4 linked regions of the Lepisosteus oculatus genome follow. The protein of the gene in region 3 purifies or fractionates together with the protein of the main gene of each other region. This does not show direct contact. Links are inferred from orthologs where the notes say so. Each region holds a gene or a part of one and is shown on either strand. Other genes may lie near its edges. The genes, in order: twf1b, svila, F-actin-capping protein subunit alpha-2 and microtubule cross-linking factor 1.

Region 1 (8,023 bases), about 16 Mb from region 3:
GTTCAGATCTCAAATATCTTTGAAGAACTGAGTGAGTGTTTGCTTCCATTGCAAAATAAGATTTTAAATACTGAGCATTCTTGTGGACAGGAGACAATCAAAAGGGTCACACGACAGTTCAGTAGAGACACAGTGTTGAGTATGGCCAGCAGGAGTCATAGGTGCACACATGCAGCTGCGACAAGCACAACCCCATTATACAGATAAGACACTTTGTTAATTCTGTACTGAATCTATATTTCATTTTTAATAATCAGTAGCCATGGCCTTAGCCAGGAAAAGTGGACTGTACTGGGTCTTCTAATACTTGTGAATACTGTGAAACATCAGTAGAACAAAGCTGCAGTTTTCTGGTACCATATTCAGTTCTTGCAAAGCAACATTAAATCCTTAAACACAGGTTCGAGTCTGTAACGTACAATGAAAAAATAACAATTCTTTCATTTTTTGGGATATCGTTACCGTATATTGGATAGCTTACAGGTGAATGATCTGGTGACCAGGCTAGAAAAATCCACTCAAATCCCTGAGCATTTTGTGAGTCCAACCTGTAGAGGATATATGATGGCTGGTCATCCTCTAATAAAGGAAGAACATACAAATCATATTCTTTGTCCCAGGTCTTCACAGCTTGTTTGGTGCTGCCGACTACCAGCTCTTCTGAAATAAAAAGATTGAACATGCATGAGTCTTAATTATTAAGAATATAACTACACTGATGCCTTTGATTATATGGGTCTATATCCTGTTATTTCACATATTTTTTTAAATAAAAAGAAATACATATTGGATTGTATTTATTAAAAATAATTCAATTTTGTGTACTGTATTTACACATGTGTATCCTATTTTTTGCCATACATTTTGGAAACTTTTTTAATGAAGAAAGCAGGTTTTTAGCACTGCAAAATAGGGAAGTGCAGTTAAAAAAGTCACAAAGTGTCTAAAATTTTCTTGATCAAACCTAATTTCAAGTCCCATTATTATCCACATTCACTGATCTGGATATGGGTGTTTTTTTTCTACATATTTAATACACTTTTACATACTAATAGATGCAACAATATAACATGCTGAAAGAAAACTAGTTACTTGTACACGGCTAAGCATTTTATCTTTCACTTCTAATTTGACGCTATCAAATGTATGAATATGCCAGGTAATGAGAAACCATAAAAACATTCAGTGAAGAAACATGTTTTCATTTGATTCAGTTATGACATAAAAGCCTTTTTTAGTTCTTGACTTTGTGCTATCGTAACTGGGGATTTCGTGTTTTATTAATTTTAACTTACTGGTTGTCTTGGTTTTAACTTTTTCTTCTGAATAATATTTTTTTACATTATCACTGATGCAGTTGTCCTAAAAGGGAAAAGGCTGGCATTTGTATTACATATCATAACAGAAATCACAAGTAAATTATAATTCCATACTTTACATAGAGTTAGAACTGACCATTCTCGATCACAATCTTGAGGAGCCGATAGTTCCCATTTCTGGCATTTGCAAAAATGTCTTTCACTTCTTCAGCAGCTGAAACAAAATTTTAACATTATTAAACTACACGTCTAGCTACTAATTGAAGCATACTATACACGTTAAGTACACATTGTTTTTATGTACATAAATGCATGACACTTAAACATTGCAGAATAAAATGAACTGCTGATGTCACAATTCAACAATACTGGCAAATGAAAGAGTGGACAGCTCCCTTGCCCCTCAATCAGGTTTTAGTACTGAATTTAATTAAAGGATTTTCAAATTAAGCTCAAAACTAATTTTAATTTATGAAGAAACAAAATAAACTTTATTTTTGGAACAACAATCTTACAAGAGGAAAATCAAGGGCAGAAGACAAAACTACAGTCTCATGAGAACTGTCTGTAAAGAGACAGGAACAGTGTGTTGCAAGAGATGTATGTCTACCAGTACTTATAATAAAGGCATAAGAGCGCATCCAAAGTGCTCAAAAAAAACTTAAGCCAATGAATTTTCATTAACATTTCATGCATCTGTCCTTATAAGAATTATGAATGTGCTTTACACAAACATCCTGATTAAGCACACAAATGCATTAGCATTAGAGTATTTAATTGATTTTGTTTCTGGTAAATAATGTAGTCAACAGTCAAATACCCTAGTTTTCTAAATAAAACAAGTGATTTTCTTTTATTGTATTGACACGACAGTAAGAGATCTGTATAGAATCCCCTTTCCATACTTATTTCCTGACCCACTATAAAAATCATAAACGTTTTGGTTTTTAAGGGAGGAACTGATACACTTGTGGGGGGAAAAAGTAAGTCTGTCTGTCTCATCGGTTTGTTGGCAAGGCCAGGACCCAGTCATATCCTTCTAAATTCCTCTGTAGGCGTTGTCTCACCATAGCTGCTTTCTACTGAAGGTGCTGTGGATACTTCATTTGCACAAGACCTTTGTTCTAGGCAGTACTAATGGAGCAACCACAACACACGTATAGCAGATCACCAAGCATGTTTCATTTCACGTACGTTTTTTTTCATTCTAACTCAACAGACAAAATAATACAATTAGTTATATTATTCTCCTTTGCAAAGAGATACAACAGGCTATCCAACAAGAACTTCCATTTAATCTAAAGCGGTATTGATTACATCGTAACTGAACTTCTTCCTCTTTTTAACCACGATTATGTTTTTTTAACAAGATAAGAGATTAGACACAGATTTAAAATAATTTACCTTGAATGCCAGTTTGATGGGACATTATTTGTTTCTCTGAAGTCGACCGGCTGATTAGAAGCGAAAGAACAAGGAAGAAGAAACTGAACTACACAGCAATTCTACACCGGCTTCGACTTGACGTCACCGGCAGCAGCAGAGACTCCAAAGTCACGTGGCCAACACTGGGCTCAGAAGAGGTGGAAGTTCAGAGCTGTTCGTCTAGCTAGGGCATGCATGAGCTTGTTAATGTCTGGATATGTTAGCTGTTCGAACCTTCCATAAAACCTGTAATTCCGTATCACATATCTATTAAAGCAAACACTACGCAATGTGAATGTTTCCATAAGTATGCACAGCATGCAATAAAAATGTAAAATTTCACTCAAAATTAAAGGTTTATGTAAAATTTCAAATGATTGGATTTCGGAATTATCTCGTATTGAAAAGTCACGTCGAATTAACATATGGACACACGTCTGAAGGGAAAACAACACCGCCTGAAGAAATGCAAGAACATAAAGCCATTAGTCTTTAACTCCTTGATTTTTTGTGTAAAAATGCATTATACACGGAAGTCTAGTTTTTTGCGGATCATTCCAATTTGCTGTAAATTTAATTTGATCCATTCATATTGATGCAACTAACTTTATAAGTTAAATATTGTATTGCCTCAGTTCAAATATTCAACATGATAACTTCCAGGAAAAAAAAATGTTAGAGTAAGTACCGAATACCTCAAATTCCATCTATTTTCACAAATTAGTGTGAGATAAAAGCTGCACTAAGCACCTGTTATACAAGGCCAGTAAAACATTTTCTAACAACCGCTAGAGGCTCTTATTCTTAACAAGAATTGCGCATGCTCTTGTCACTACGTATCTGTACCTAGAGATATTGTACTGCATTATGGGATATCAATGACCAGGGGATGGTAAAACTAGCACATTTTTTAAGCTGGCACCAATCTTGTTATAAGGTATAGGCAGTTTGTTCTCGCTGTGTCATCGTCGGCTGTAGGGTACTTGCAGAAACGTGTCGTTACTTGCAAAGTGTGATGCATTATCAAATCAATGGGAAAACTAATAAAACAGTAAAACAAGTTAAAATATGATGGACACAGTTGTACATCCAGCGTTACTACATTCCTAAATTTATTTATAAAGAAATAACAATTCATACACTGTGGATTAAATTGTTGTAATTCAGTAGAAATCTAATCGACCTCTTGTTGTAGTGAAATTAGTAAACGTGGAAGAAATATTATTTTGAAATAGGTACAATTCTGTCAAGCAATGCTCATAAGTTATAACACTAAATATATAATGTCGTGAATAACGTTGTTGGAGAATGTGCCAAAACATGATTCATAGTAGGAACAGTATTGCTTTGCAAAGCCAGCTACAGTATATATACACATACAGTGCATACTGACACAGAAATGTATCTGTGAGGTGAAATGCAAATTCCATTCAGAAATACAATTTCAAGTGTTTTAACTTTTTAACTTTTACTCATTTAGCTGGTGTTTATGAGATCATATGCAGAAGTTTTTTTTCTTTCAATGCTATATTCCAGAAAATATATGTTAAACTTCACTCCATGAACAATCACCAACACATTATAAATATAATTTTTAAATACTGTCAACAGGAAAAAGGATTGCTTAAGTAGGTTTTGAAAGGACAACAGCAATAATCCCTTGAGGTTTGCAGGGTGCTGCAGATATATTTATCTTTTACTGTGTATTTGATTATAAGATTCCAATAATATCTTCCGCTGAGTGAATTATCTGGCTAACCACTTTTCAGAAGAAAAGATTAATTAAATTTGGTCCATAATCTATGGTAGTTCAAAATGTTTTTAGGCTATTACAGAGATTTATTTATAGATACAGTATTCCTCATCTAGAAGCATATTTAAAAAATACCTTTTGGTAGATCACAGTATTGCTGACATTCTGTTTGAACATGAATGATATTAATACTGAAATATAATATTTCTGAAAAGGTTACTGATTATTTTGAACTATTTAAAATCTTAAGAGCTTGATTCTACTTCTGAGCAATTTGTTTAGTATGAGATAAGCAGTTTGCACTTGAAGAATTCCAAAGTGTCTTTACTGTACATAAAAACTTCAATGTTTTTATGTTTAAAGTAAGTTTCTTTCTTAATTTTGTATACAGTACAGTATATTGACTGATTTAATTAGGTTCCTAAAAATGTCAATAAAATACAAACAGAAAAATACTCTTTCATTCTAGAGTTTTTTAAAGGAGGATTTCTTTATACTGTATACTGTACATATTTGAGTTTCAAGACTACTTTCATATCCGCGTTCTGACAATTATTCATGACACGTATTTCACTGCTTGATTTTCAACTTTAGACAAATTGTGTGCAAAATAAATCAGGAAGTATCAACAAACTATAGCTTTAAAATATCAAATATTGCAATTCATAGTTTGATGCTTATTGTTTTCAACCAGTTTAAAAAATATTCTATCTTATTCAAAATATTATAAAGAAAAAGAAGAAAACATATCACAAGAGAAGCAAAAGTCTGTGGTGGTACTTATAAGTATTTAAGGATTCAAATGAATAAAACTAAGTAATGGAGCTGCATCTCCATGTTCAAAATGGTCCCTATCTGTCTTTTGTCTTACCTTCATAGATACACTTGGAAGAAACATTATTTTCATCAGGATGACCCAGCATGTTTGTTGCACTACTGGATGCTGATAGTATGTGCTGTGGGGAGTGCATTTTTCAGCTCTGCATTTCCCTGACACAGAACAGCTGAACACCCAGCCATGCTGACGAAGCAGTGCCTTTTCTGCCTTCTCACTGCTGCTTGTAAAACAACTACAAAGCTAATGGATTTGGGAGTGTGACTGCCATAGAAAGAGACAGGTCACATGGCCAGTCTAGTGACACTGCAAGACATGATTTCCTCTTGCTAGTAGAATAATTCTAATGTTGTCAGCTCAGTGAGCATGATGATGCTGCCAAAAGCCGAGTGGGATCTGGCTTCTTGTCCCCGGAGCACAGCCTGAAGAAGGAAGAAGTGGTGTGGTAAGTTGGTGTATTCAGTATGTAAATATGTTATTCACTGAACAATCTTTCTCCAGCCTGCAGCCAGACAGTTATCAAATAGACTTCAGCCTTAAAATTTGACAATTCCAGCAGCTGTTGCCTTGGTAATATAATAAAACAAAGCACTGTCAGGAGCAGGGAAGACTGACTTCATTCCTAGGACACAGAGAAGTGACAAATTAGTGCTATTACATTTTGCATGTGTTAATGTGGAATAATCTTTTAAACACTTGACAATATATTTTTAATTTCCTTAAGACCCAGAAATTGTTAGAAACGAGAAACTTCTGTTGTATGCTGGATTGAAAAAATGAAAATGCATTTCCTGTAATGCTAGTCAGCTGTTTGTCTATTTTTATTGGCCACTTGAGCTAAAGAGCATTTCTTAAGGTGGACCAAGGACAGAAAAATAATGTGAGGGATTTAGAGAAACTGTTATTTACCCCTCTTACTATACATAAAATAATAATAGTAATAGTTATTGTTACATTATTGATATATCATTTATTTAACCAATCGTGCAATTAGTTAAACTATGTGTGCAATATTTGGTATGTTAAAAATATTGTTTCTTGACATATTTAACTATCAAGAGATATGTGTTAAGAATCTAAGATACTGTGTTCATTATGGATTAACTTCATATTCACAGATAGACAAGGGTAATGCACAAATGAGTTAAGATTGTTAAGAAAAGAACTGGGATTAAGTGAGAGCTACACATCCTTTTATAGTAATTTGGTATGAATCCAGTTGTTTAGGTTTGTTAATTTAATTTTATGTTCATTTAAACTGTCAAAGTTGGATATTCCTTTTAGGCCGGGAATGTATTTTGTTGCTCCTCTACAATGAAATTCAAGGACAACAATCGTTTTTGTATCAGAATTGTAAAAATATTCTAAATGAAGTCATACAAGTGTAACATATTACCCTTTGCTTAAAAATCTATGCTTTTAACTATACTGTACTACTATTGCTATTTCAGAGTCTAGATTAATGATATAAATTAGGAAGAGCAGTAGTTCAGACTCAGATGTCTATTACCATACAACTGCCATTTTACATTGGAAGTAAGGGTTATTGGTCTACAATTACTTGGGTTAGTTTTGTCACAGTTGGAATAGTTTTACTAATGACCTATGAACAACATCCCTAAAACTGTGTTCATCTTACAGTAAGTGCTTCTGGTACCTGTAACTCTCATGTATTTTCTGTGCTAAAAGTATATAATCTAAAGCTCCACCTTTCCTCACCCTGAAGCATGCAGTTGATTTCTCCCATGATAAAAAGTGTAGTGAAATATTTAATACAGAAGCCATCATCCTTTTATTTTCTAAATGTTTTCAATTTTTATGCCTGAGAGACATTACTTCATGGTTAACTAGTGTTTTGTTGTGGTCATATTGAAAACATATTACCTGTCTTCTATTTCAGTAGAATTTTCTCTCTTTCTAATACCCGTTTTTACTTGAACTAACTGTACTTGAATCATTCTTAAAGTGCTTTGTTTCACTTTATATTTTTTCTTATTTGATTTATTTAACCATTTGGACAACTGTTTTGCATGTGATTTGCTTGCTTTTGGAATGTGTTTTGTTTCCGTGTTTCAAGCAGAATATTTTTAAACTGTTGCTGTCCTTTCTCATTTCACATTTGTATCCCATTCCATTTCTGCTTTCCTGAAATTATGAATCTTTATTTTCGACTTTGCATGTCTTGTATAGTATGTTTGACATTTGTATCTTGCTAATATTTGCTATATTTGGCTAATATTTAAAGAAATCTACTATATGTTTACTGTGTGATGTTTAGTTTCTGACTGCAGGGTCAGCTGTGTCCTTTTAAAGCTAATATGGGATCTGCTGGTGTTCACCAGTTTTTATTCAAATGGACAGCAGATATTCCCTTGGAAAAAGCATACAGTATTTAGTTTAATAGACAATGTCTACTATTTTATTATCAAAACAGGACATTATTTCTTCAGCTGTGAATACAAAACATATACAAAATTATACACTTGAAACTAAGAAAAAAAGTTAAGGAAAACTATAATTGAATTTTAATGACATATTTATCCCATTATTTTTCTAAAAAATATAAATATTGTTTCCTAGCCATTATGTTAGTGATTATTGTAATAATCCAAGGCTAAATGTCCAACCACTTGTGTGGTGAAGTAATAACATCTAATACTTGATACAGGAGATATTTTCTGTACCAATGCC
Region 2 (7,324 bases), on a different chromosome or scaffold from region 3:
CGGAAAGCTATTGTATTGTTTTTCACCATTGATTTGTGGCAACCAAATGTTTTTATTGAATTTTCAATTTAATATAAAGCTCATGTAATGCTAATACAGTGTACTCTATATGTAGGTGTATTCACCGATTTCAAGAGGCAGATATTTCTAATAGCTGTAAAAATCCATTCTCAAGACTGCATTGTAGGATTTGTCTTAATTCTAGCCATTGTATATTCAACAGTTTGCAATATACTGAGAAGTGAGTAACCAGTGTTTATCTGAAGGAATGTCTGGGTTTATCCAGAGTTGAAGAATGTTTTTATTTCCACTGCTGTGAAGCCAGCAAAAAACAAGAACTCGCTTAAAGTAAAATTAACCAAACCGTTCAACAAGCAGAGGCAAGGATCTGGTTTGAGAAGTTTGGCAAACTAATACCAGTTGGTTGCCTAACATACTGTAACATTAGCCATTATCAGAGCTCAGTGTGGTTTCTACTGACGTATAAAAGGTAGACTAAAAGTTAGTCATCTGCTTAATTTATTTTCCTTATGAACGGGTGTTTCCACTTCTGAATACACCTCAGTTCACAAGATTACCAATTCATCTTAGGGAACATCAGCAGTCACAAAAACAGAAGACATTCATTTAAAATGTTCAGTATAGATATTAGTGCTGTTCATATCGCGTCTTCACTAAAAGTCAGAAACCTCTTTTATAAAATGCTCATCTGGATATATTTTCATATATAGTGTTATTTCAGCTGCAAGGAATATCCTCCAAAAACATTGCTCATTCGAAAGAAATCCCTCTCAGAATTCAGCTCAACAGCTGATAAAGCAATTCTAATTGACAGACAACTATAAAGAACATTGAGGACATTAAAGTAACTGACATTTTATTTAATACTGTTTTGATGTTATGGTTCATACAGTACCTGACAAATCAGAAAATGTTTTAGAAATGACATTTTCATAATATACTAATATTTCCATTTTCAATATACTATAGAAATTTCCATGTTGTTGCATCTTCAAGCAAAATTATTTTTAGTTCACAACATTAAAATAAACTGCATGTGCATACAAGAATCATGTTCCTCAGGGAATATTTTTTTGGTTATGGGCCTGTGCAACATAAGGGGAATTGAAAGAGGGCCTAATCAGACACAGGCCTCAGTAAAATTTATAGCAGTGCTAAAGGCATGCAAGAAATTTCTAAGACTCGAACAGACTTTTTATATACATTAAACATTCCAACTAGGGAACGTAAAACTACAGTAATAGGTATTCCAATGTGAAAAAACACCATTGGAATCATCCCCATCAGCTGCAGGTTACAAAAAGCATGCTGTCCTTCACGTTTTATGAATTATACTGGGTTTTCTCTTATGTGCCTCATAATTACTTACAGTAGGGTGAAAGATTCCAGTGTTAAGAGGTGCTAATATTTTGTATAGGGTGCCTTAAATTAACTGAAAATGTCATCTCCAAATATCTCACTACATAATCTACAGTGGAAATTATACCTTTACAGTATATGCACACAAATTATGTTTGTGTCTAATTTACTGACGTAGCTGAAACGGAAAAATTGAATTGCGTATATAACGCTTTCTAGGAGCTCTTAGGATATTCTATAAACTCACAAGAGTAACGGAAGTAGGCATAAATCCTATGTTTAATGCCTACACAGTATGTAGTATTTTAAGGTTTAAGAACCGTCAAATTAGAAGGCCGCATAAAATCTAGCTCCTATTATACAATTTAATTGTCCTGTTCTAAAAATGTGATGTAACAGGACACGATGCACATTAAAGAATAGATCATTTCCTTATTCTTTTCAGTAATGTGCTAATTGAGGAAAGTAAACAAATTTTTCAGGTCTGACAAAAACTAAATTGCAAATATTTAGCATAAAATCATGTTCATATGCAATTATCAAAGGCTAAATATTCAATGCAAAACAATTGTTTAAGTAACACTGAAGAAGTCTATAAAACAGTCTAATTGTTGTTTTCAAAGGATAACCAAATACGCATTTTCATTATTTAAAAAAAAAACTCCCTCACCAAATGTACACAGGAACAGATGCCACAACAACCTAGAAGTAAACAATTCAGCTGCAGTAGATTTTAACCAATATAAAGGGAGAGTTACTTGCAGACAGATGCTGAACATGTCTGAATTCTTTATAGTCAATAAGCTAGGTGATAGGAGGATGATTATCCAAATGCCTAGCTCCCAGAAATAGAAAATTCTAAAAATATCCTAAAGAAGGATGTTCTGCAGTTAGAATTTAAACGAATTTACAGTAATTGCTCCAAAGCAAAACGCTGTATTTCTTAGTATTACACATTCAAAACCTATCTTGAGAATAAGGCAAAAATTTCCCATAGAGCTGCCAGGAAAAAAAAAATCCAGTGGCAAATAAAAACATTATAAAGTGATTCATCTCATTTAGGCAAGCCATTACCATATACTGAAATTACATTTTTTGGTGGACTTCCACCGATGAATTAAGCTTGAGAATTACATTGCGGTTGTTTTTATTAAATGTGCATGAAGTATGCTGACACCTGTTGTAAATACCAAGCACGTTGAAACGCTAGTAAAAATAAAAACTCGATGCACATATCAAAGCTGCTATTGTAGACAACATCCTTTTGACTCTTTGAATTAATCATTAATTGTTTTGCATTTTAAACTCACAGATGAAAATCCTTATCCCTCTATTTCATTCATTACCTTTCAACTGCGTCCTCGGAATTTCAGACTACATAATGCAAGGACACTGGAAACACTGCATTTCAGAATAGCATACTATCAGGTCACTTACCTTGTCCACAATACTTCATAGCGCCGACGTAATTAGAGATCCAGGGGTTCCTGAACATTGTTGCAATAAGGGAGAAAATGCCAACAACAGGAAAAGAGGTGGCAGCTATTCCTCAACCAGTGTAGATGCAGCACAAGGCCTGCCTACAAGGCAGTGTGTAGAGATTCCTACTAGCAGTCCTGAACAGACTGAAGCTGTCAAGCTATCGATGGGCTTAGGGAATACAGTGCATGCATCGCAATAGGCTGCATGCTAAAGCAGCTCAGGCTGGTAATCAGATTACAGGCGAAAATTAGGCACAGGAAAATGTTAAAACAGATTTGATGAGGGCGTTCAAGAGCCTGAATCGCCAAAACTGCCGCAAGTCTGTGGCCAAAAAGTCACAACATCTGCTCCCTTGGATGAGGTACAGTACCGCAGCGCAACGGAGGCACAGCTCCTCAAATAAAGAAGAGAAACAATCTCCTCTAATGGACAAGAAATTCCACTCATCTCTAAGTAATCAGAAAGTGCAAGGAGTGCTCAGAGAGAACGCGAAATCAGCTCCCAGGCTGCCAGAGGACTGGGCTCTGACTAATCGTATCATTATGCTAAATACTTTGCCTACCCCAGGAGAAGCCAAAAAAGCACACCGTTAAAAGTCTTGATTTATGGACAACATGTGAGTAAAACTGAAAAGAAAGCAATGGACCCTCTTAATAGTCCGAGATATTCCAATACAAGCCGTGCTCGTTGACCATCTTTCAGATCCCTCAGATTCACAACTGAAGGTAGCTACTGTATTTAATAAATTTACTTGGAATGACTTTGGCTTTTGAAGAGAATGAACAAACAATAAAAGAAACTGGTCTTTCCCTAAAAAGAAAAGCTTTAATGATATACTTTTTACCAGGACCTTTTTTCTTGTATCGTAATAAGTGATTATCTAAACTATGCCCCTAATTTAGTTGGAAACAAGACAATATTCCTAAATTACTCAACCTTTTCATAGGTTGAATGTAAACTACTACTTGGAAAGTTAGTGCTAAGTGGTTCATTTTGAAGCAGGTTTTTCTACGAGCTTTTCCACAGTTTATGGTGCACCTGGATTAGTAAGTTATAAAAATATATACAGTACTTATAAGAACATGCAAGTCCACAATGATAGCTGTGGGTGAGTGCCCAGCTACAGTACGTTCAACTTGCGAGATGCAACTACTGTTAAACTGATCCGAGAATCGAATGTGCAGGCCCTCTCCCAATTAGAGCCCCATGGAGAACAGTTCATGACCCACTTGGTTAGAAATGCTTCCTCACAAGGAAAGTGGGGTATGACAACTACAGTAACTGTGCACAGACAGGGATAAGGTCAGCTTGTCCAAACATGTCGAACTCCATATGATAAAAGCTGAGAGTTACACTTTTCACAATAGAACATGCTCCTACAGATTTACTGCTAGGACAAACAAATCTATTTGAAACGTAACATACATGTATTAGGGTCTAAACTGCAAGTGTATATTGACAAAACAGAAAAGAATGTACAGTATAATTTGCCATCCTCGCTAGAAAAATGGCATAGTGTTTGACTCACCGACGTCAAACAAGGTCAAGTAGACACTGATGGAACTTATTAGAAGTGACAGGCTTAGAAATCACTTCTGCTGTGATCTAATCTAGGCCATGCATCCATAGACACAGATTCGCTGCCAGCTCACATCTGAGGGGGGGATCTACAATTACCTCTATAGGATTTTCCATCTTACCGAGTCATTTGCATTAACTAATAGGTCTAGCAATCTTAAAAGAAGACTTTAAGAAATGGTATCTTCACATACATAAAAAAGCAACATCTGAAATGTCAAAAACAAGTTAAAACATGGGCTAGCAGGCTCTCAACAGAACACTATTTTGGGTAAACCCAGATTAGCGTGAGCTATGACAATTTTCAAGTCTGTTTTAGATACAGTAGAGACCTGCAGTACATCATCTGTCACAAGTGCCTGTTAACCCAATGAAGAACACACAACACCGTCTGGGAACCCAGAATTCCAGACCACTACACTGTTATGCCAATCTCTTAGCACTGTAGCTACAATCAATACTGGTATTCCACGTAGGAATGGCACAGGAGGGAGGTGGGGTCTCGGGAAGAGAATTCCACCTATTGTAAGAATCTCTCCAGAGGAAAATCATACTAATCTTACCACAATATATATAACTCCAATTGCACTGTTGAAAGAGAATAAAGATCTAAAAATCTGTCATTGCACAGCAACTTGGACTCAACTTCTAGAGCAGGGTTGATTAGTCTGAAAACTACCATAAAGCAAAACTGTGGCTCAAACAACATGGGGGGGGGAAAAACAACTACTTGCATAAAGAAAAGTGCCACATCCAGTAACTCGCTATCTAAAATGTAATACAATCAAATGACCATGACCAGCACTTCTAGGAAAGTGCATTCAATACATTCCATTTAAAGCAATTGTTCTGCAGAAAATATTAGAATTATTCCACAAGGTTCAGTGGGGGAAAAATTCTGGCATTTACTTTTTTTAAGCAAAAGGCACTCAAACTTTCAAGAAAGGGGTTGACCAACCAGATTCCTGGCTGTACCATTTACTAATAATAACGTAGAAAAATATTCTGGGAAATATAATTTTCAGTCTGTACATTCTTCATTACACTAGCAAAAATATGAATAGCAAACTTATTAATAAAATACCCAGTATGTCAATATGAGTTAGATCCTCTCTTCAGGACGACAGTAAAAATGCTGAAAATGATAAATTTGCAAATATTACAAGCTTGGCTAATAACAAAGATCACAGGCTTTGTAAAATATACATAGTAGATTGTGACTACATCACAATTGTAAAGGCACCTCAAAACAGAATGAGAAACATTTTGACAATTACATCATGTTGGTATTTAAAAACAACAATTGTTAAAATTAGAAACATACACTCTGAAATTAAATGTCAAACTCCTTTTTAAGGACAACTATTTCACAACAAACTGCCATCGTTTTTTGCAACAAGGAAACAAAATGCACAGCCTGCTGCGAACAATCAGTGTTGGATAGGATGTGTGGAAAATACCTTCAGTCATTTTAGAATGTGTTTCCTGATCAAAGTAGAGAAAAGCACACGGCTTCTTATTTGCACAAGGGTCTGTTCTCTTGCGCACAACTAAATGGTCTCAAGACAAGGCAGGCACTGATAATCAATACTGAGTGCTTTCATCGTGTACCATTTACTAACAGGACAGAACAAAACTGAGGGGATAAGTGGTGATACACTGTTGTGTGGTGGGAATTGTGCACACAAAGCATAAAATCAATAATGTTTTACACAAAACACAGGCTCCTTCAAAGGGCAGGTTTGGAAAGGCAAGGTTGCCACTGTTGAAAACCAAGAACTCCAACCTAACAAAGAAAGCTAAGAATGCTCTTCAACAAAAATGATTTAAAATTTTCAGTGGGGCAATGAACAACTTCAGTTTTGAAGAGTCTTTGCTACTGTAGATCTTGTGGCCATTTCTTGTGGCAATCGTCTTTTAAGTTGGAAATGTACCACATTACACATCCGCCCTGCGATGGACTGAAGCCCTGTCTGGGGTATACCCTGTCCTGTGCCTGTTAATTGCCAGGTAGGCTCTAGCTCTGCCCATGAATTGGAAGTATTTAGAAGATGTGTGTATGTATACAGTGTGTATATATATATACACAGTACAACAATGGCTTAACTCAAGCCCTTTTAAAATAGCCTTACTGTACTTAAACCAATGCATTTTCACTGGTTTAAGAAAATACTAAAATTTGCTTAAGAATTTAAAAAGGTTCTGAAAAATGTACATTTGCATACTAGAAACTGAAATTAAAAAATCGCTGAAACAGACTTGAGAACAGAAGAGAAACCTTCTCAAAACAAAACTGTTTTCTGAACGGAGAAAGCACTTCCCTGCAAAGACCTGCATAGGTCTTGGTCTATGAAGTGATGACAGAATGTCGAATACACGAACCCAGATGAAGCCTGTCCAGCTGTTGATAAAGGAAAGCACAGTGCACCCTACAGTCACAATTAGTTTGCCACTTCTAGTCAGATTAACTTAAAACATAACCAACGCCAAAGAAAAATACAGCACAAAGGGCAGATGGCAATATCTTAGCTGCCATTAGAGAGAAGGCCTTGAGAGTTGCATATTCTGGGACTGCTTTGCAAACAGTGCCAGTAGTGGGATACCTCTCAGGGGTGCAGAACTGTAAGGTTCCAGCTCCATTAGCTGCAAACCGGCAGAGACTGTCCCTAGCCTCCGTTCCCAGCAGCCTACCCTAATAAGGCAACATGCAACTTGACTGGCTGACTGAGAGGTCGTATACTGTTTACCTCTGCAAGCAAACAGCATGCTAGCTCCCTGTGACCCTGTACCTTCTGGCAGACGGCGTGCATGCATAACCCTTGTCAGCAGCTATAAAAGCATCCATGTCCTACTACCTTCATACGAAGGGAAATTTCTGGTTTAA
Region 3 (7,344 bases):
GACTGTGCCTCGAATATATTGAGTAACCAATAAAATTATTGATCGGAATAGGGATTTTTTTTTTGGTCTACAAAAATGACCCCACACTTTTAACAAGAGTCATCAGGTTCTGGTTTCATCCAGAGCACTTTCAAGCAGATGAGCTGGACAGGTGAAACTTTACTTTCATTGTTGTCTTTTTTTTTTGTATTTGTAATTGTTTTATATAAATAATGTTGGTGAACACTCTATTTTTTCATTTCCACACAGGTATGAAATTTTAGCATAATGAATTATTTTTTTATATTAATGATAATGATAATGAAGATGTTAGGCAGACACTACTATCCAAGGGGAAAACAACATGAATGAATACAACTTTTAACATAATTCCAGTTCATAAAGAATCAAAAATAGCACACGCTGTATGTGTACAAAGAATAGCAAATTCAAAAAACTGCAAATGGTTTTGTAATTATCAAAAAAATTGGACACACTGTAAGACCATATAGAATCAGGTTAATTACTATTACAACAAAATCTAAGGATTACATTGTGTAGAGGAGGAATCTAAGACACATCTGTTTTTTTTATTCAATATTCCTTGATTCCCATTTGTGAAGTGTTTCTCTTTTAGTACACTAAACAGTTGAGTTGGTTTGCAAATGGCATTTCTTTTTAATAGTTTTTACAGCAGTGCACCTGTTCACATTTATTTACAGCTGAAGACCATCCTGTCTTAAACTAAGACCTGCCTTTGCCATTTGTAAATTTTTGGAACAAAGGTTACATTCAAGGCATGCAGTGATTCATTTGCTTAACATTGCTTTTGTACCTAATCACTTGGCATATTTCTCAAATCAGCGTCCTTTACCGTCATACCTTCCATATTAGTCAACATGATCTATTGCGCGCCAAGATGATAATGTACAAACCCTGAGGTGTGAGTTTCATAAGGTCTGTTCGAACATATATGTACTCTCAGTGTAGTGTAAAAGTGTACTGACTAACATTACTGTAAAGTATTTTTGTTGTAATTTAAAATTTAAACATTTTATTTACAGCTAAATGTTTTCCTTGAAACGCCAACGTCCCGTTTTTTTACGCTGCGTCGACGCCCTCTTGTGGCCCGGAGTCGTTTCTACAACTAAAACCGTGAACTTTTCTCGCTTCATAAAATAGCACGTGGTGGCACATTTTTTTAAGTAAAAGCGTAATGTATAAAATGATCTATGAATTGTATGATATTAACATTTTAACATTTAGTTTGCAGGAAATTGGTATTCCATACGTTATTTTTTATTTAAGATTTAATTACTATAACCATTTTCGCTATATAAGGGTAAGCAATAATAATAATAATTTTATTATTATTATTATTATTATTATTATTATTATTATTATTATTATTATTATTATTGCACCTTATCGCCGACTAAAATTTCACAAAGGGGGCGGAATAAAGTGTAGTATATAGTGTGCTTTCGTTTTGAATCCTCAAACCTGCAAACTTGCATTCACAGCAAACCCTCAAAATAGCTGTATCAGAGAAGTCTGTGAAACATATGACAGTTTAATTCACATTAAACAACTGAAAACTAGTTTTATAAAAGGTTTTATTTATTTAAGGATGGTATATATGATTTTCTTTTTGAGGTAATGCATACTGCAATACTGTACATCATTATTTATGGTTTTTAATATGAAATTTCATAGACTCAAGGCCTGATTGTACAGACAAATTTGATATACATGCGTGTGTAGGTAGAATTGGAAACAACTACAGAACCTCAATCTTAAAAAAATCAGACTTGTAAGTTAAGAAAATGGATGGAATAGGAAAAAAATCTGAATTCAAGAGACGATATACAGTAAGACACAATGCATAAAAGCTATTTCCTGTGTACGTCACAGACAAATTGTCGGTTTGTGATCTTCAGAAGTCTACTTGCCTGTGGGACTCAGAAAAGGAAACCACTGCTAATAAAGACAGAAAGAGCATTACTTCTACATATACATATAAGAACATCGGAATGTTTACATCTGGTCCATTGGGAAGTTGGTAGCTTATTGATCTAAAGCTGTCAAGTGGCTGTTTCTTGAAGGAAACTAAAATATTGGCTTCAACCACGTGGCTTTGAGCAAGGGAACAAAATGGGCTGTCTTCAAGAATGAGTCAACTACAAGTAAAACAACACGGAACAACCAAGAATTGAGAAAGTCCTATAGTGTAATCTGCAGATATAGATGACCAGGGATATTAAGGAGTGTGCAATGGTGGTAGAGTACTGGCAGGAAGAGATCTAGGATACTTAGCATGGTTGCCGACAAAGCATGATGGTGCTACACAAGGATCAGTATATTTTTCTCATCCCTTCTAAATTTGTATCCCCTTTACGTAATGCGCATGCGCTCCACAAACTTTCCAGGATAACTTGATGATACAGGCTGCTCGTGCATGTTTGTGCCTTTGCTTATTACGATATGGATAAAAAGGACCCCGTTGTTTGTGCACTTACATGGGTTTCTCTGTGTATTTAATGCGTTTTCTAAGGATTACGGTAATGTAAAAATGCACAAAAAATACCGCTGTCACGTGAATGAAAGCTCAAATTAATAATAATAATAATAATAATAATAATTGCTTACACTTATATAGGGCTTTTCTGGACACTCCACTCAAAGTGCTTTACAGGTAATGGGAACTCCCCTCTACCACTACCAGTGTGCAGCATCCACCTGGATGATGTGACGGCACACCAGCTATGAGTTACGAAGCCAGATCATGGATGGGGATTATTAGGAGGCCATGATTGGTAAAAGCCAATGGGAAATTTGGCCAGGACGCCGGGGTCAAACCACTATTCTTTTCGAGAAACACCCTGGTATTTTTGATGACCACAGAGAGTCAGGACCTCAATTTTATGTCTCATCTGAAGGACGGGGTCTTTTTACAGTATAGTGTCCCTGTCACTATACTGGGGCATTAGGACCCACATAGACCACAGGGTGAGCACCCCCTGCTGGCCCCATGAACACCTCTTCCAGCAGCAACCTTAGTTTTTCTCTAGAGGTCTCCCATCCAGGTACTGTCCAGGCTTACACCTGCTGAGCTTCGGTAGGTTGCGGGAACCCAAAAGAAAGCACACAAAGGCTATATGCATCTTTTGCCCTTATGTGTTACATTTACTGTAAATCATTTTATATGTAGAAGATGAGAAAAATCATACGCCCCTGAGATGTCACATATGCATGACGTAGGGGGATGCAGATTTCCAGGGGATACTGAATTGGATACGACACCTGTCACGTACAGTAATACCTTCCGAGCTCAATTCGCAAGTTGATTACGTACAGTAGCTTCGTCGCTTTGTCTGTTTCAGGCGTATCCTGTTTGATATTTCGGATTTTGCGATTTGTCCAAATCATTTCACACAAAACCATAACCAGTAAAAGACTAAACCCGCAGCCTCATTTAAATATAGCACGCTTTGCTTATTTACATTGAGCAAAATAATTTTACACAAAAAGTTAACTAACAATTGTTCTTTCAAAATGCTGAAATGCTCAAATTGTCTTTATTTTTTCGATGAATGACTGAATGTTGAGATGGCGTTTAGTGTTTTATCACAGGACATTATTTTTTAGCTTTGATTGAAACACACGATACATTCGGACTTTTAGAATGAACATAGTTACAACACGTTTATTAACAATAACCCTTTAACTAGACTAGTTTAAAACAACCTAGCTAAGAGCTCTACACCAATGTTTACGATACGAGACGAACCAGGTAAAAAAAAAGTCAATACAAATAATATACTTAACACAACAGAAGGTGGCAGTGTTAACAAGCAACCGAGTGTTCGGCAGAACAGATCTAATCGGATATCTGAAAACCTCATCAGATAATAAGCGCTGGGTTTCGGCTCAGTCTACAGATTGCTGCCGTCTTTGGCAGTGGTAAATTAAAAAGACTTGCGCCAATGTGTTAAATTGCTCTTGGGAGGTGCAGTTTGAAAGGCACAACATTTTAAGATTGAAGTGTGATAAATTAAATACATACACATATATAAATTGAGGAATTGATTCCGACTAGTGAAACATTTGTCTACTATTTTGATGGGGTCAATAACGAACAAATAATACACTTATTTAGTGCTGATTAACACGTAAGCTATCGGGACCTCTCGTTTTATCAGCACCTTTAGCGTTGCAGAAAGGTTACTAAATGTTTGCCGGGTTATATTATAATCCACCGATCCAGGGAGACCAGAATCATGACCGGCTGTGCCGCCGCTCGCAGCTAGTCGCGCGCCTTGTGCACACTCTCCAGCTCCGTACGCAGTGCGCGAGCCTCGTGTGGGAATCCTCCCTTCTGATGACGTCAGGGTGAGCTTCAGTGAACCGTCGTGCCGGAAGGAAAGATGGCGGATCATGAGGAGCAGTTATCTGATGAGGAGAAGGTAGGAGATGCGGAATGTCTTTTGTTGGTTGCAGGGCTTAGGACAGAGAGTGATGCAGGATTTAATAGTCTTTAACTCCGATCTTGTTTATACATAGGGGCTCAGGTAAAGTATAGCGTTGTTCATCTTTACAAGTAGCGACAGGCCGCTGGGTTCAGGCTTGCACTAGTCTATTATTTTTAGCTCAGCAGTCCCTGCCCAACTTCCGTTTCTGTCTGCGAATCTCAAACGGGGACTCCTTGTACGGTCCGATCGCAAAAATAGGAATGGGTTTCCATATAGTTGCTCCAGTTCCTAAAGCGGTAGTATGCATTGTTATCCTTCTGTCATACAATTTGCGTTTATGTCTGACCTGTTTTTCTGTGATCATTTCGCACACACAGGATATGTATTTACTAGTACACGCCCTGTTGCCATTGGCGCTGCTTGCTTATTACTGCTCGAGTTTGCACAATAAGAACCAGAGCCGGGAGGAATAAGCCCCATACTGTGCTGCAGGTTTTCCAATTGCAGTGTTGCTGTTGAAGTTAGTAAGGACGCTCTCCGCGGTGCAGCTGTACGGGCCCTCAGGAAAGCTTAGCAGCCTCTAGGGTACTAGAAAGGGTGCTGCGAAATAATGGTTCGCAAACTAAAAAAAAAACTTGTAGTAAGGTAAATGGTACAGAGGTAACTGCCGGATTATACTTGCGGAGTTGTGTAACTTCCCATCCCCTCAATTTACAAGAAATGATGCGGTGAATGTGTTGTGATAGCATCCATTTAATTAGGGTACTGGAAGCGGAGTTCGCTATATTTCGCTCTTGCAGTGTGGTTCTTGGATTGTAAATGCATTTAACGCGGCCTGGTTATTTATTGTGAAATGTGGGCAGCTATAAAGCAGACTTCTCTACTTTGTTTGTAGCAGTCAGTGATGTATCATTCGAAATAAACTAGATTATATTGGCCTGCTTCACCAGTAGGATTGTAAATGCAAGATGACAAGTTCTTAGCTGTTCAGCAGTGTATTGTAAAAACAAGAATCCATCTGACTGTTAAAAGGTGTAATAAATGTAATAAATGTAGAATAAACAACATGTTTAAGAATCCTGGCAGTGACTGAGTTGTCAGGTCTTCATTTGGAGTTGCCCTTAACAGAACTAAAAAGCCATTTAGTTCCCATAAAGAATTTGAATTGTCTGGTATGAATGTATAGTCACAGTATGAGACAAGACTAAACAGGTTTCAAGGAATTTAGTACCTTTTTGTTTTGGGCTCTGAGCATCACATGCACCTCCCCTTATCAGAAAAGTCTTTATGACACTGAGTATTATTTAGGGATTAACCAACACTGCTAGTATCCTGAAATAAAAACAGTGAGTGAATTTGCTGAATAAACATTTAAGATCCCCTGAAGAAATTCACTGGGTCGACTTTGTCAGTGCTTTTGAGGCTGTCAGTGTTAGACCTCAGAATGCATTTGGCTGCCCGTCTCTGTCCAACTCTGTCCATCTCTATTAATATTAATCGAAATCTAATCTAAAGGAACACTACTCTGTGCACATTAAAATCAATTACTCAAATTGCATTGCTGTGCATTAAAGCTGTATATGATAACCAGTTTTTTTCTGTAAAATCACCCAAGCTGTTGATTTGTACTATTTATGGCTTTTCACCAAGAAATTGATGCAGCTTGTATAATGCTGTAACACTTCTAGATTTATACTTGTGCTAAGGTTACTTAAGACTAGTTAGAAATACTGCAGTCTTTCGAATAGAACACATCAGAGAGGCAAAAGTGCTTTGCTGTAAGTTTTTAAAAGACTGTATTTTATATTATGCATGAGAATTAAATATAAATTCTTGATCATATTGTATCACTGTTTTAGTGCACAGTACAGTCTCCCTCATTACCTAGTACATCTGTGTTGTAAGATTTTATTTGTAAAGATTAAGATTACTAATATGACATCAAGAGTTTTAAACCCAGCTGTGGAGACCAGTAACGTTCATGGAGTGAAATTAATCTACATTAAGTTGCTGACTAATGAACAAGCACACTTGGTTTTTTAGCCTTTTAGTTGTTTATGTTTTGTTTTTTTCTGTGGGGTGATTGAAAGTCAAACTGAAATGAGTGATGCCTAAAAATTAGAAGGATAGTTCATTGGTGACTGAAGTTTTTTTTTTGTCAAAAGCCAACAGTTTTATTATTTGTATCTTGTGCACTTAGGGGTTTATGTCTTGGCATTGACATTTTGTTGAGTTCACAATCCTTCAGTGCAGCAATGTCACTTCAGCAACAACAAATACCACACATTAGTGACCTGAAAACATTTGGGACTCTTCAGTATGGAAATGAAAGGTAAAATATTCGACAGAAATGTAACAGTCACCACAGTGATGATAATTTCCCACTAAAAACATTCGCTAAAGCTAAATCATTCACTTAATAGCATGATATAACTGACTACAGTGGTGGTGAACTGTTTGGCAGATTATAGTACTTTTTCTCTGAAGGAATTACTGTGACTATTTGTGTTTTATCCTTTGTAAACTATGCCCAAACATTTTTGAATGCCATGTTAAGGGTACCTTTCCATATTTCATAACATTCTGCTGTTGAATAACAGGAATAAGAGATGGAAAAACACAACTCCACGGATCCACCCTTGGTGTAACTGGGTCATCAAGAATGTCAATAGCTGTGTTGTCTCAGTGCCGTGTGAAATTAATTCGAGTCACATAATGCAATTCTGCACATAGTCTAATTGAACACAAGCTGTACCTAATTTAACTTGAATGGCCTCATCATGCCTTTGTGTTAACCAGATAAACTAGTTGAAATTCAAAGAAAATGTGTGCAGAAAGATTCTGTCCTTTAAAAAAAATGTAATGTTCTTACATGCTAAAACTGATTAGGATA
Region 4 (7,113 bases), on a different chromosome or scaffold from region 3:
GACATACGCGCTACACAGCTTCATGTCGGAGCTGGTTCATTTGTATTTGGTCATGTGGAAGGGAAGCTAGCCTGCAGCATTTTTAACTAAATACAGAGTAGCCTTCTGGTACAATAAACGGTTTATACAGATTCTGGTTAAAAATGTAAGCGTTTGAAAAAGTCATTTGAGAGCTATATATCTCTATAATTCCGGCTAAATGTAGCTACTAAAATATATATATACAATACACCATAGCTTGATTCGCCACCTCAACGTCTCCGAGCGACGTTTCTTTTCGTCTCTACAGAGGAGCCAGCATTTCAGCACGCTTTTGGTGTCACCTGTGATGTCCGCATGAAATATCTTACAAGATGCTTGTGAGACGCTATACGCCCATAGCTGTTCACTAGCTGCATAAAAAAACGTGTTTTCTTGCAGTGCCGGGGCGTACATAAAATGCGATCGCGGTGTGGTGGCAAAAATATCAATTTTAAATCTCTGGAGTCACTCGCTAATGTAAAAGGCTACAAGGTTGGATTATCGCCTCGGTTCTATACATATGATCGAAATAGTATTAACATCTGTGTACTGTATGTAGTCGCTTTCCAGACCAATTACGGAAAGCAGCGAAGCGCATGCGAGTCTATTTAGAGTTTCGAGGTGTTACGAGTATTTAAAGGTCCGTAAATACTGTAAGTGAACAAAACGAACTGGGATACTGTGATGGCAACAATAATGACAAACTAGTAACAATCAGTGCTCAAGTAATTAGGGAATTCAGTTATTACAGGCTGCCATTGGGGGGGAAAGACAACACGAAGAGTAAAGTGAATTGAACTGAGTTTGGTGTAGGCTTCACTGCGCTCTTGAGACGGAAAAAGAAAGCAACAATTCTGTGTTATGCGCCAAAAGGGTTAAAACCAATAGAAAAGCAGATGTCCCTAAGCAGAGCCTAGTAATTGCACTCTCGCTGCAGCGCAACGCATTGCATAGCCTTGGCTTTTTCTGAACACCAACCACACATCCAGTACACAGTGTGCTAATATACTGTAATAACAGTGCTGTAGTGCTCGCAGAGGAAAACGCAAAACAGCATCTTCTTAGTCACCCCTAGTTACAATAATGCGTAACTATCCAGGCTGACAAAAAAAAGGAAACAAAAAAGAACATGTAAAGAACTTGATTGCTGCCCAGTTTTAACGCGTAAAGACGATAAGGCCTATATTATTATACGCGCTTACACGGACCACAGAACTTATTCATGTACAGGTTTACACTATGTCTCGTGTTTGGCACATGCGTCAGTTGTGGTACCGCTATTTATTTATTTTTTTTGGCGAACGGTTAGTGTCGACGAATGCCTTCCTCAGTGAGCAGGTGTGTTAAAAACAGTGACACACAAACGCGGTGCTGAAGGGATCCATTCCAACGCATTCGCATTTACCTTGAGATAGTCATTTTCGGAACGCAGGTCCTCGACCTCCCTCAGCAGGTCCTCTTCTATCAACCCCTTGCTGCCCCGCAGCATGAATTCTGTGGGGGTGTTCGGGTGGCCCGGTCTAAAGTCCAGTTTGCCGGGGCTCCTTCCCGGCGGTTCCGTGTCGCCGCACTGTCCTGGAGCAGGTAGCGGGTAGGACACCCTCTCTTTAGCGGGTATCTGGGACACCGAGGCCGGGGGCTCCCCGAGCTGGGGGAGGCTGTGAGCCCTCCCGTAGGTCGCGGCGGCGGCCGCCCCGACAGGCTGGTGATCGCCAGACCCTGGGTCGCGGTCGCTGGACCCGGAGCCGGAGCCGGAGCCGGACTCCGCATCGCTGCTGCCCGCCTGGGTGAGCCTCTGCTCATCCGACAGGGGCTCCGAGGGGCAGTCGGACAGGTCCGAGCTGCTGTCCGTATGGCTGCTCCTCCCCAGCCCGGCTCCTCCTGGGGCGCCGACCGAAGAGCTCTGGCCAGGTGAACCCCGGGGAGCCTCCGCCACGGCGCATCTTTTCTCTTTTTTCCCTTTACCGGAGCTGTGGCCGGCGAGTTTCGGCTCTGTCGTCCCGTGTTGGATGGTCTTAGCTGCCTTTTTGGGTACCGCGGTCTTGGCGGCACTCTTTGCCGGAGCCGGTTTGTCTTTGGCGCCGGAGATGCTGCGCCTGGACAGGCGGTTTTGAGATGCCAGGAGCCCTGTTGATTGCTGCTGCTGCTGCTGCTGCTTGCTCGAGAGGTTGGGAGATTTGGGAGGGATGGCCGGGGGTTTGGCAGACGACCGGGAGTGTATATCCTTCAGGAATGGTCTCGCAGGGGAAGGCGCTCTGTTCAGTCTTTTCTTCTCCACTAACTGGTGGTTTTGCGGCTTGCTCTCGTTATTGGTGCCATTTAAACTCTCCATCATCCGCAGACGCGTGTAAGGAATGGTGATGAAAGAAACGACCCGTCCTCTGCCCACACAAATAACCCTTGCAGATCACTTCGGCAATACCGTCCTGTTTTTCCGATTTCATCACTTCGGATTGGTGCGCACCTTGTCAGGCGTTCACATCCCCGCGATGGATTACCTCTGTCGAGTACAAGCACCCCCTTTCTTCATCCTCCCTTTACTCTCCTTGAACCAGTTTAAAGAAAATGCAGCAAGGATAAAAAAAAAAACAACCCTGAATTTCCAATCGAAATGACGCGAGTCACCCCCACCTGCCGGGCCACGGGTTTGTCTTCTGTCCGGGTTTAATTCATGTGCAGCCGTGATGCAAGACAGCGATCCCCCCGAACCCCCATTCTGTTACCTCGTCCCCCCCACCCCTCGGACAGTTTCCTCAGCCGTCCACCCCTCTCCGCTCCGGTCTGACATGCAAGATCTGCAAGCGCTGCTGCGGTCCGTCTCTGACGCTTGTGCCTTTCCGGCGAGCGCATGCGCCTGCTTTTTTCACCATCAATTCTCACCCCCCCGCCCTCTCTCTTATTTTTAAGTCCGAGGAGATTTGTCTTACGGGCAATGAATGGGAAGTCCATAGAGCTGTCTGCGTCCTTACTCACGACCGCTCTCTGGCAGCTGTGTCTGCGGGTGGCATTAAAGCGCTAATGCACTAAAAGCCTTAGCCCGTAAGCTTCAGAACGGAGTCTGAGGCTTTGTCCACTTTGTTTCCGCATGGATTGAGAATTTCTTATTCAGGAACTGGGGGGAAAAAAGGCATTAACCTAGACTTACAGGAATAATAAAGGCACCGCCCAATCTAGCCTTTACACCCACTGTTGTTAACTTTGCAATATCAATATAAAATCTAAACTGTTGCGTGGATTTGTTTTTTTAAGTCACGCAGGACACCTCAGATTTGACACCTTATATGTGTAGGCATTCGTGTATAAAAAAGCACTACATCCCTGGAACACAAGCACGGTATAAAGCCATTAACAGATGGTATCCCTCGAAGATGTGTGGAGGTCACAAGGAACTTGTTTATTGGGCTCCATCTCACATTATATTTACAAACAGAAAATAAGGATACATACAAAAGAAGCTTTAAATATTCCTTACACTATACATTAGTATTGAAAAAAATTAAGACTTACGGGGATGGATGGTGTTCGTCATACATATTTCTCTTATTTAAAAAAAATAATTTTTCCATTAGACCCTACATTTGCGGTCCTTTTAAGCAGCAGAATGACCAGACCGTAGCCCGCCAGATCTTGTCATCTCTCAGGAGCTAAGCATGGATGAGTCCAGTCAGTACTGGGCAAAGAGGACTTATAAGGAAAACCAGGCTGCTGAAGTAAGAGGTGTTGGGGGTAACTCTTCCCTTTGGACCACAGCTTTCAAAACAAATTCCCGAGTATTGTGATTAGGTACAGTGTACAGTAGTGGGTACCATCACTCAGACCAGGCATCAGACAAGGTCCCGTGACATTTCATTAGAGTTGGGGTGTGGTGCCCAGCGTCCTGGTTAAATTCCTCTGGGCTTGAACAGCCTGACCTACCTGGAACTTCTCCTTGATTCTCCCATTTCTAGTCGGGCTGCTGGCACATGGCTGCACCACACATAAAGAGCTTTGGCATCCTTAGGGCACAAACAGCTGTCTAAAAGAGATTGTTTTCAGTCAGTGCGTTTACGAACATTTTGCAGCTGCCTACATATCTGACCATTTCATGTTACTGACAGCTACACAAGTGTGAGCAGCTGTATGATTTTTACAATCACGTTTTCCCCATTAGGCACTGATGTCCTACAAGCGTACTGCTCCTACAGCTTCACACTTGCTACTCTGTCTTCAGTTAAGTGTGTTGTTAAATTCTATACTGTAGAGTGTCTACTAAATTGTGTAAGCAGTACTTTAAGGGTTGTTGTATACATACTGATGGAAAAAAGAAACGCAACACCTCCTCCTCCACACTCTGGCCCTCCCGTCTGGGTGGAACAGGCTGAAGAGGGACTCATCTGTGAAGAGGACCTGATGCCACTGCTGACGAGTCCATCGCAGCCTCTGTCTGGCCCAAGCCAGCTGGGTGTGAGGTCTAGGAGCTGTGAGCAGAGGGCCTCTGACAGGTCGCCTTGCTCTAAGGCCAGCAGCATGGAGCCTCACTGTCCGGTCACTGATGCGGGCATTGTGTCTGCTGGCAGGTTCAGCCGCAGTACGGGTGGCAGATCTGAAACGATCTCTCAGATGGACCAGTCTGATGTGTCGGTCCTGCTCTGGTGTGGTCACTCGAGGGCAACCGGATCTTGGGCGGTCATCTGTCCTGCCGGTCTGCTGAAGCCTTCTCTGCAGTCGGGACACAGTGGAGCGGCTCACTCCATAGCGTCTGGCAACGCTGGCACATGACAGGCCTGCCTGCAGCATGCCAGTGGCCCTCTCCCTTGCTTCTGGTGCCATCTGAGGCATTATGGACTGCACAGAAAACTGACTAAGTGTGGGCTTCTTCTCGCAGTGACCTAAGCTTTGAATTGAGGCCTTTTTAAAGGTGACCTGATCAGGCATTGCTCCACCTGCACCTCGTTGGGTAAAAGTGCACCTAATGAGCTTTCCTGTGATTGGCAGGTTGCAATGCCCCACTGCACCAGCTGTACTGCTTAAAACAAATTTATCACTTTTTGTGAAAGTACATTAACTATAACTATAGTATTCAAGAAAATCTTGCGTTTCTTTTTGGCATCACTATGTTCACCCTGTAAAATGTATTACTGAGGCTTGCATGTGAACTAACACCATACATACAAATAAAGACTGATTACCACACAATACATGCTGCTAGCTGTAGCAAAGTCTGATGCTGAATACACTGAGCTAAGGCATGTTATCTTCATGCCAGGACTTTCAGTCAGCAAAGGGAAGGTGCTAGGAATCAAACGAATGTATGATCCCCTCCGTAAATATTAAAATGAGACCGTAAATGAACCATTTGGTTCATTAACACAGCAAAACTGTGTAAAACGGAACTGATGCAACAAAAACTAGTAACAGGAAGGAGTCAACTTATTGAATTTCTGACCAGATCAATTGAAAACATTGACCACTGTGAAATGCACAGCTGGCAGCACTCATTCTCAAGATAGTGCCCTGCCTGTCTAATATCGCAGGTGTTGCTGGAGATGATCAATTGCTTTTCCAGGTGCATTAAAGAGGTCTGGCTCAAGAGATAATGCAGGCCACTAAAGAGACAGCAGATCATTTGTTAAAATAATACCTGTATTTTCAGACTACAACGGTTGTATACGAAAAGGTTTGCCAAATCTGTTATCCATGAATCTCAGGTTCATTGTGGTTACTAGCCCATTCACCACTTGACCAGCTACATATACCATTTCGAGTTGATCATAGTGCTCCCCCCACACCCCAATCCTAATATTACCTTCTATGACGTCCATTTAGAAACAGCAAAAATGTGAGAAAACCTGATAAAATCCTTGATTTTCCCCTAGGCTTTCAACTTAGAATCTGACCATGAAAGCTTTTCAGGACAGTGTCCAAATCAATATCTATGGGCAAGTGTTAAAGCGAGTCCCCAGCTGTGAAATGCTGTCTTTCACAACTTCAGTATATCCAGCCATTTTCTAACAGTTACAATTCAGGGTCCTGGGGGAGCCAGAGCCTATCCCAGCAAGCAACAGGCGCAAGGCAGGGTACACCCGGGGCAGGACACCAGTCCACCGCAGGGCAGACAGATACACTGACACAAATCCGCACACACTCACACCCGGACCAGTTCACCCAGAAGCCCGTGAACCTACCAGTATGTCTTTGGTCTATGGCAGCAAACTGGAGCACCCAGAGAAAACACACACAAACACGGAGAGAACATACAAACCCCCACACAGACAGCACCCCAGGTCTGGACTCGAACCCGGGGCCCCAGCAGCCGTGAGGGAGGAGGGCTCACCAGTGCGCTACTGTGCCACCCCTACACACACACACACACATCGCTTAAGAAAAAAACAGAAAATTACATGTTTGAAAAGCAGGGAAAAACCTATGAATACTGCATTTTCCTGTAAATGAAGTATAAAGAGATCTTATTAGTGGACACTTGAAGCTTGTACGGGCTCTTTATCAACAGAGCTGTGTTCATAAACAACGTCTCCGTGGGCTCGATTGGGCCTTCTCTGCTCTGGCACCTGGATTCCTAGCCATTACAGGACTTTGGCCCTTGTTCCAAAACATTCAGTACAGAACTGATCCTTTTAATTCCACTTTTTTTTTCATTTTACTCAAGCAAAGTGAAAATCACTTCAATAACTGAGGATTAGCAGGAGCACCGAACCTTGGCATGGAATCTGGCATAAATTTGCCATCCTCTGGGCAAGAGGAGCCGAGACACATCTTATATTCCAGAATTAGAGTGCCACCTGGTGGCGACTTACCGGCATTTCAGACTAACATTTCAATTGAAAAGAGGATCACCAAGAAAGTAGCAACAAAGCAGAAAAGTTCAGTCTGACAGCATTGTCCTGTGAGAATTCGTTCCTTATAAAATGTGGTGCATTACACACTGGGTGACCCTTGTACATCTAATTTTGTACATTTCACGTAGAATAAATTAAACGTTCCAACATTAAATGCTGAGTAATAAATATAAAATTTTATTTGCACTTCATTAGTTAAAGAATGCCACAAGTTATAAATACCTCAAAAACATCTTAGAACATGCCAACAAAACCT

The links.
Region 1: the proteins of F-actin-capping protein subunit alpha-2 (region 3) and twf1b purify together in Homo sapiens (affinity purification with mass spectrometry; 3 studies listed by BioGRID and IntAct, with this or other methods). This does not show direct contact. The link is inferred for Lepisosteus oculatus from reciprocal best matches to the Homo sapiens genes CAPZA2 and TWF1.
Region 2: the proteins of F-actin-capping protein subunit alpha-2 (region 3) and svila purify together in Homo sapiens (affinity purification with mass spectrometry; 3 studies listed by BioGRID and IntAct, counting the BioPlex papers as one, with this or other methods). This does not show direct contact. The link is inferred for Lepisosteus oculatus from reciprocal best matches to the Homo sapiens genes CAPZA2 and SVIL.
Region 4: the proteins of F-actin-capping protein subunit alpha-2 (region 3) and microtubule cross-linking factor 1 purify together in Homo sapiens (affinity purification with mass spectrometry; 3 studies listed by BioGRID and IntAct, counting the BioPlex papers as one, with this or other methods). This does not show direct contact. The link is inferred for Lepisosteus oculatus from reciprocal best matches to the Homo sapiens genes CAPZA2 and MTCL1.

What each region holds. Positions count from the first base shown.
Region 1 is NC_090702.1:29,639,932-29,647,954, reverse strand, and holds the start of twf1b (twinfilin-1), read right to left. Parts: upstream 3,023-8,023; 5' UTR 2,749-3,022; coding exon 2,724-2,748; intron 1,534-2,723; coding exon 1,456-1,533; intron 661-1,455; coding exon 482-660; intron 1-481. UniProt on the Homo sapiens protein: Actin-binding protein involved in motile and morphological processes. Inhibits actin polymerization, likely by sequestering G-actin. By capping the barbed ends of filaments, it also regulates motility.
Region 2 is NC_090701.1:39,896,171-39,903,494, forward strand, and holds the start of svila (supervillin a), read right to left. Parts: upstream 3,008-7,324; 5' UTR 2,876-3,007; coding exon 2,818-2,875; intron 1-2,817.
Region 3 is NC_090702.1:45,303,343-45,310,686, forward strand, and holds the start of F-actin-capping protein subunit alpha-2, read left to right. Parts: upstream 1-4,339; 5' UTR 4,340-4,406; coding exon 4,407-4,445; intron 4,446-7,344. UniProt on the Homo sapiens protein: F-actin-capping proteins bind in a Ca(2+)-independent manner to the fast growing ends of actin filaments (barbed end) thereby blocking the exchange of subunits at these ends.
Region 4 is NC_090701.1:56,253,160-56,260,272, reverse strand, and holds the start of microtubule cross-linking factor 1, read right to left. Parts: upstream 3,002-7,113; 5' UTR 2,357-3,001; coding exon 1,427-2,356; intron 1-1,426. UniProt on the Homo sapiens protein: Microtubule-associated factor involved in the late phase of epithelial polarization and microtubule dynamics regulation.